2 linked regions of the Coturnix japonica genome follow. The protein of the gene in region 1 purifies or fractionates together with the protein of each later gene. This does not show direct contact. Links are inferred from orthologs where the notes say so. Each region holds a gene or a part of one and is shown in the gene's direction. Other genes may lie near its edges. The genes, in order: KLHL15 and NUDCD3.

Evidence for each region.
Region 2: the proteins of KLHL15 (region 1) and NUDCD3 purify together in Homo sapiens (co-immunoprecipitation; 3 studies listed by BioGRID and IntAct, with this or other methods). This does not show direct contact. The link is inferred for Coturnix japonica from reciprocal best matches to the Homo sapiens genes KLHL15 and NUDCD3.

Annotation. Positions count from the first base shown.
Region 1 is NC_029516.1:107,470,687-107,474,506, reverse strand, and holds part of KLHL15 (kelch-like protein 15), read left to right. Parts: intron 1-140; 5' UTR 141-147; coding exon 148-852; intron 853-3,820. UniProt on the Homo sapiens protein: Substrate-specific adapter for CUL3 E3 ubiquitin-protein ligase complex.
Region 2 is NC_029537.1:91,019-94,563, reverse strand, and holds the end of NUDCD3 (nudC domain-containing protein 3), read left to right. Parts: intron 1-2,294; coding exon 2,295-2,483; intron 2,484-2,602; coding exon 2,603-2,713; 3' UTR 2,714-2,837; downstream 2,838-3,545.

The DNA of each region.
Region 1 (3,820 bases):
GCTGAAAAATTAAGGATGGGGAAGACTTCTAAGTCTTGTTGAAAGTAACTTCAGTTTGCATTTATCTGATCGGAAAGAGCTTGTGATATTTTCAATACTAGAAATAATTTATTTTTATTTTTATTTTATTTTTTCCTCAGGTGATTCATGGCAGGGGACGTGGAAGGGTTTAGCTCCTCCATCCATGACACCAGTGTCTCTGCTGGATTCAGAGCACTGTATGAGGAGGGATTGCTCCTTGATGTCACACTTGTCATTGAAGACCACCAATTTCAGGCTCATAAAGCACTGCTTGCCACCCAGAGCGATTACTTCAGGATTATGTTCACAGCTGACATGCGAGAACGAGATCAGGACAAAATCCATTTGAAAGGTCTGACAGCTACAGGCTTCAGCCATGTCCTCCAATTCATGTATTACGGAACTATTGAACTGAGTATGAACACTGTTCATGAAATCCTTCAGGCTGCCATGTATGTCCAGCTTATAGAGGTGGTAAAATTTTGCTGCTCTTTTCTCTTAGCTAAAATCTGCCTAGAAAACTGTGCTGAAATTATGAGACTTCTGGATGATTTTGGTGTAAACATCGAAGGAGTCAGGGAAAAATTGGACTCTTTCCTGCTAGAGAATTTTGTGCCGCTCATGTCCAGACCTGACTTCCTTTCATATCTGAGCTTTGAAAAGCTCATGTCTTACTTGGATAATGATCATCTGAGCAGGTTTCCAGAGATAGAGCTGTATGAAGCTGTTCAGGCCTGGCTGCGCCATGATAGAAGACGCTGGAGGCATACGGACACCATCATTCAGAACATCAGGTTTTGTTTGATGACACCATCCAGTGTTTTTGAGAAGGTTGGTGCATTTGAAAAGCAGTAGGCAGAATTCATCATTTAGCTAGGGCAGCATGTTGTTAAACAGATAAGATTCCCAGTCCTGTTAGGAGGAGCAGTAGACCCGTAGAAAACAAGCGTCTAGAAGTAATGCCATCTGATTGTTAGGCAATAGTATGTACAGTGGATGGAGGTTACAACAGGTAGGTTGTAACACATGTGTTTAAGTAACTTCGTATGGAAAGGACATCTTAAAACAAGGTCACGTATCAGGTTTTATTTCAGTCATTCTTTGTTTTCTGCAAGTTGTTTCTTGCTTCCCAGAGATTTTGTAGAGCATATATCATGACAGATGTTACTGATATAATCAAAACATGCTGACTGTAGATCTTGTGTCTTTTAAGTACGTTTTTCTTCTTTACAAATGAAAGTTGACATCTGCTGTTAAACCTGCAGTGTTTTTGTTTTTATTGTATCTTCAGTACTTGTGCTATTACAAAGCAGTTAGAAATTAGCCCTGATCCTGAAAAGTTAGACGTCCATTTGATTTTACTCAAGGCATATAATACGATCAGAAGTGTTTGACAGTGTGGAATGTAATGACTTACTTTAAATAACAGAGGAGTCTTTGTAAGAGGTGATAAAAAATTCAACTCATGATTGTATGTGTTAAGAGGTTAAATGAGAACTTGCTTTTTCTACTGTTCTGTTGAAGAATAGACAAAAAATGTTGCTCTCTGGTTTGTGAGAAACTTGGGAACATCTGACATGGGTAGAGAACTACAAAGCTTGTAAGCCACTTGCACAGGCTACTAACTGTAATACTAACTGTATTCAAGTTAGGAGTTGTTCAGCTTGTGCTGTTATGTTATGTCGTTGTTATTAATCTTGTGTGTTCAGGTGAACTTTTAAATTCTGTATTTTCCACCTCTTGGTGAAGTAGTAGGATTTAATGCCCTGTGTATTTTGTTGGGCTACTTACCATTATTTTCATACATTTTTGGTATCTATACACAGATAAGACTGTATTATAATTATAAAAGCTATTAATTATTTGAGACTGAGTTATTACATTCTTTTTTTCTTTTTTTTTTTTTTAACTTTTTGTGTGCGTGTGGATTGAGTAGACTTAATTTCCATTGACAACCCTTTATTAGCCTGTGGACATAAAATAAATCTAATTACCTAGAATTGTTTTAGAACACTAACGTGATGTTTATATCGTGTTAGAAATGATTCCTAGGATTCCTAGTAGGAGCTGGAATCTGCAAGATGCTGTGTAGTGTCTTGCTTGTAATAAAACTTTGACTTCATTGCATAATTTAAGGTCTTCATTAGGAAAACCGATGTCATCAGATATTCTTATAGTCAATCTAATAGGTTAAATTCATGTGAAAGAGTCTATTTCAGTTCTTTGAATTTTTGGAATAGAAGTTCAAGTATCAAACTGTTTTCAGTGAAATTTCTGCAAGCGCAAGTGATAGAATGGGTGTTGTGCTTTTTTAGGGTTCTATTTAGGTGTAACTTCTGAAGTTGGTTTTGGTATCACTGATGTCTATTCTGCACACAGAGCTTCTTGCAGTTTCTCTTGGCAGCTACAAGCAGCTATGACATAAGGAGAGATGTCTTTTTCAGCATCCCAGGCTACATGGTCACCCGTAAAAACTTTTTCCTGTGAATGTCCTATCCATTAATTGCATGAGACAATGGAGTGAAACCAGTCCAGTTTCTACTGTGGGACTGTTCTACACTGAGCAGAGGGGAGTAGAATTAAACATGCATGTCATTTGGCACTGCAGCTAGGTTGAAGAGCGCTGAGTAACCCAGGATGACCAGTGACAAAGGACATCTGCAGTTGAAGCTAATGTAAAAACATGACCGTGCTTTTAAATTTTCCTTTATTTAATGAAAGAGCATGTTTGTTAACTGTTCTGTCAGTAACTTGAAGGAAACACATCCGTTTATGTAGAAAGGGGAAAATACTAGTCACAGTGCTTTTTTGGAGATCAGAGAACAGATAAGAATTCATCCTTTGCTGAAGCACAGAAACAAATCCTGTGTGAATATACCAAGTACAGTCTAAGGCTGACTTACAGTTGAGCAAACTGAATTACACTCAGTGACTTGTCATATGTATTCTTATGTAACCTTTCTAATAGGCATTTCTAAGATGCCTGTCATTATACTGGGACATAAATAACTTACATAACTTAATTTTACATGTCACAGAAAGGACACTTCTTGCATTTTAAGCCATTCTGTTTCTTACAGCATTTTTAAGAGAGATTTACAATCTAAGAGGGATGGCTTGTCTTTTTCAAAGGGAAGTGATGAGTGACTGGGTTAATACTTCAAGACTGACACGAACCTGGGATGCACAAGGGAAGGTGTAGCCTGTGTGCTTACTCTGAACTGCCCTGGAAGAACTGCCTCTTAGGTAGGAATAGGTACTTCTGTTGTTGCTTGGCCCTTAACATAGATGTGTGAGGAAAATGGAAGGATTTGGGGAAATGATTGAAAAAGAGAGTTTTATGGCTAGGAAGCACGTTTCACCGCACATGTTACATTGGTCTTATTCGAAACCTATCTACAGCTCTGTAAGTCTTGAGGAAAGTTGAGTTTCTCTCTCTGTTACTGTACCATGACCATGTTGTTCCTTTCTTTCATATTTTCATTAATCTTCATTTAGCTTCTGTGTATAACTCAGATGACAGTGTTGTTTCAAAACCCTTTGTCCTTAAAACTGGGAGTTTTTTCTAATACTTTTTGTGTAGGATTTGTTACAACTAGTTCATGCTGATTTATAAATTCCCAGTTTAAATCAGAGATGTATTAACCACTGGAAGTATCAACCTGTACTTCAGAGGTAGGATGAAATGCATATTAATAAGTCCATCTTTGAGTATGTGCTCAGCAGATCATCATTTTTGAAAGATGCCATAATTTTATGTCACTGTGATTTTGTCTTTAGAGATATTCAGCACTTGTTT
Region 2 (3,545 bases), on another chromosome or scaffold:
AGATGGGGGCACAATGAAGCCATGCTCAGTGTGCCAGCGCTGTGCTCGCTGTCTGGACGGTGCCTGTCCATTCCCCTCACTCCCAGATCTGGCCGAGCCCTCGGCACATTTCATGTCCTTGGGTGCTTTCATGGCTCTTTGGCACCCAGATGAGGCAGAACCCCGTGGGCTGTGGCTGTGGAGCTGCCTGCTCTGCCCGGCGCCGCAGCCCGGCCGTAATCCCCGTGCTCTCCCCTCGCTGTCACGCCTGCTCACTTGTCAAAAGGGAGATGAAAATAGCTTCGCAGGAGCCGTATTTAGAAGGCTCTGCTGGGTGTTGTGCACAACACGTTGGGGATTATTTTTGTTGTTGAGGAGCTTTTCCCCCATTCCCTCTTTCTCTCCTCTCCAACGTTTGTGATCCACGCTCAGGCTTTGGTCACCCAGTTCTGTCTCGAGCAGCTCTTACATCCTTTGCCTGTCATCTCCTGAGCGGGGAGTTAATAACAATCTGTGGCACTCCCCGACCTCCATGTGCCGTTGGAAGTTTGCCCTGGTGCCCCTCAGCAGCTCCTGTCCCCCGCTGGCTCCCAGGGCCGCTGCTGCCATGTCGGAAGGGAAGCAGGTGGCAGGAGGTGGCTTTTCCAAGTCCTGCTTCCACCCTTTGGCAGCATCCCATCCCTCCAGATCTGACGCAGCACTCGGGATCCAGGAGGGAACCCATCACTATGGCAAAGCGCAGCACACGCAGCGAAGGACTGGGCCCCTCCTCGCAGGATATGGGGACATGGGAGGTGACACGGTGACGCTCGGTGCTGCAGCACACAGGTCTCCCTGCAGCCCATCCTGCCCCAGCCCGTGGCTTCATACAGCTCCAGCATCTGCCGGTCCCAAAGCAGAGATGTGCAACCTGAGCATGAGGCACCTGGAACCCGATCCTCCCTGCAGCTCCGAGCTGGGGCAGAGCACAAGAGCAACGTAATCAGGTCAAGATTTATCCGTCCTTGTGGTGAAGCCCTGTTCCCTTGGCAGAGCTCCGCAGGGTTCCAGTGTGCAGCCACCTTCCATGGCCACCTCCCAGGGCACAGCACGGCTGGAGCAGCGCTCATGCAAGGAACCGACCCCGCACCACCAACCAAACCCCAAACCCCAAACCCACAGCTCAGCAGCTTTGTGACCCTGCCGGCACTTGGAGGTTGTTAGGAAGTGGGGCTGCAGACTCAGGGGGGGGTCCCACTTTCGGTCCTGTCCCCCTGGAATCCGGGGGCAGAGCAAACCCCCCCCACGCGCAAGGTGGGCCGCAGAGGTTCATTGGGACTGTTTGCAAAGCTCTCAGAGCGGCGGTGATGCACAGAAACGCTGCCGAGGAAATGAATAATTCTGCCTTCCCAGCAGGGTGGGAGCGGGACGTGGTAAATAAAGCCGGGCTGGGAGGAGGAGAGGGGCCGTGGGCTGCAGCTCTGCGGGGGGCTTCACACCCACTGCCAGCCCTGCCGTGTGGGCTGTGTGCCCGCTATGGGGCCGCGCACCCCATGGCTGTGTGCCCGCTATGGGGCCACGCACCCCATGGCTGTGTGCCCGCTATGGGGCTGTGGACCCCATGGCTGTGTGCCCGCTATGGGGCCACGCACCCCATGGCTGTGTGCCCGCTATGGGGCTGTGGACCCCATGGCTGTGTGCTCCTAGTGCTCAGTGCTGGGTGAGCACCCAGGGTTTGGCCTGACAGAAGGTGCTTCGCTGCTGTGCTGGAACCCACCGCCCTCAGCTCGCTGCGCTGTTGTGCCAGCACTGCTCTCCCAGGAGGACTGAGCACAGCCACCCCCTGCACCAATATCGGCTCCCAAACCTTCATGGCTGCCCCCGTTCTGTGGTTGGGCTGGGGACAACGGGACGTCCCCCCTCCCTTGGGCTGCCCCACCAGGGATGGAGGATGGCTGTGATGCTCTGATGTCTGCACAGGCCATGGCTACAACTGTGTCCCCTGACCTGGTGACGTGTCCCCATGGTGGGACATGGGCTCAGGGTGTTGTATCCCATGGTGGGACATGGGCTCAGGGTGATGTGTCCCATGGTGGGACATGGGCTCAGGGTGATGAATCCCATGGTGGGACATGGGCTCAGGGTGATGTATCCCTATAGTGGGACATGGGCTCAGGGTGTTGTATCCCCATGGTGGGACATGGGCTCAGGGTGATGTGTCCCATGGTGGGACATGGGCTCAGGGTGATGTGTCCCATGGTGGGACATGGGCTCAGGGTGCTGGATGGGTTTGGGGTGACACATCCCCCACTCCCTGAGCCATCCATTGTCCCCAGATCAACCTGAACAAGGGGGACGAGTACTGGTGGAACGCCGTCCTGGAGGGCGAGGAGCAGATTGACATCGACAAGATCAACAAGGAGCGCTCCATGGCCACGGTGGACGAGGAGGAGCACGCCGTGCTGGACCGCCTCACCTTCGACTACCACCAGAAGCTGCAGGGCAAACCGCAGAGCCACGAGCTGGTGGGTGCCCCCAGCCGGGAGCCAGGCCCTGTCCCCCTGGGGGTCCTCAATGTCCCCCTGGGGCAGGGGTGGTGGGTGTGGGGCAGCCCCACGGTGACAAACCCCCCTGTTCTTTGCAGAAGGTGCACGAGATGCTGAAGAAGGGCTGGGACACCGAGGGCTCCCCGTTCCGCGGCCAGAAGTTCGACCCGTCCATGTTCAACATCTCGCCCGGCGCCGTGCAGTTTTGACCCCGGTGTAAGCGGGACAAGCGGCGACGTGGGGAGGGGAGACCCCAGACCCGGTGTGGGATGCCCTGTGCCCACAGCCGGCATCAGCACAGCACGGGGGTGGCATCCCATCCCATCCCATCCCTGTTCATCCATCACCATCCATCCCATCCCTGTTCACCATCACCATCCCCATCCCTGTTCACCATCACCATCCCATCCCATCCCATCCCATCCCATCCCATCCACCTCCCATATCCATCCCATCCGCATCCCATCCCATCCCATCCCATCCACCCACACCGGCATCCAGCACCGGGCCCTTCTCTCTCCTCTCCTCTCCTCGCGCTGGCGACGGCTCCGTTGTTTTCAGGAATAGACGGAGCTCGTTGGTGACATAATTATTATTTTTGGTGGTTGAGGATATTTCTGGTTTTTGCTTCTTTTGCTCATCCCCCCCCCCGGCTGCTCCCTCAGTGGTGGCTCACGCCCTGCTCTGCCCCACGGGCTCCACGCGTGTCCCAGCCCCGGGTCGGCACGGCAATAAAACCTTGTGCCCCGCGCGGGGCTCTGCGAGCCGCTTCGGGGACACGGGTGGGGGCGATGCCGCCTATGGGGGCGATGCTCCGTCACTTGTGGGGCGCAGCTGGTCCACGAGGGCAGCGCTGCATGGGGCACCATGGGAACCATAGGGACACTGGGGTTCTGTGGGGGCTCTGCGGTGTCCCAGCCCCACTCGAGGGCCGCCGCCCGTTCGTCCCCCGGCGGGCAGCAGCGTCCCACGGTGCCACGGGGCACATCGCCGGCCCGTGGCTCCGGGGGTCCCGCCCCGTCCGTCCCCGGTGACAGCGCA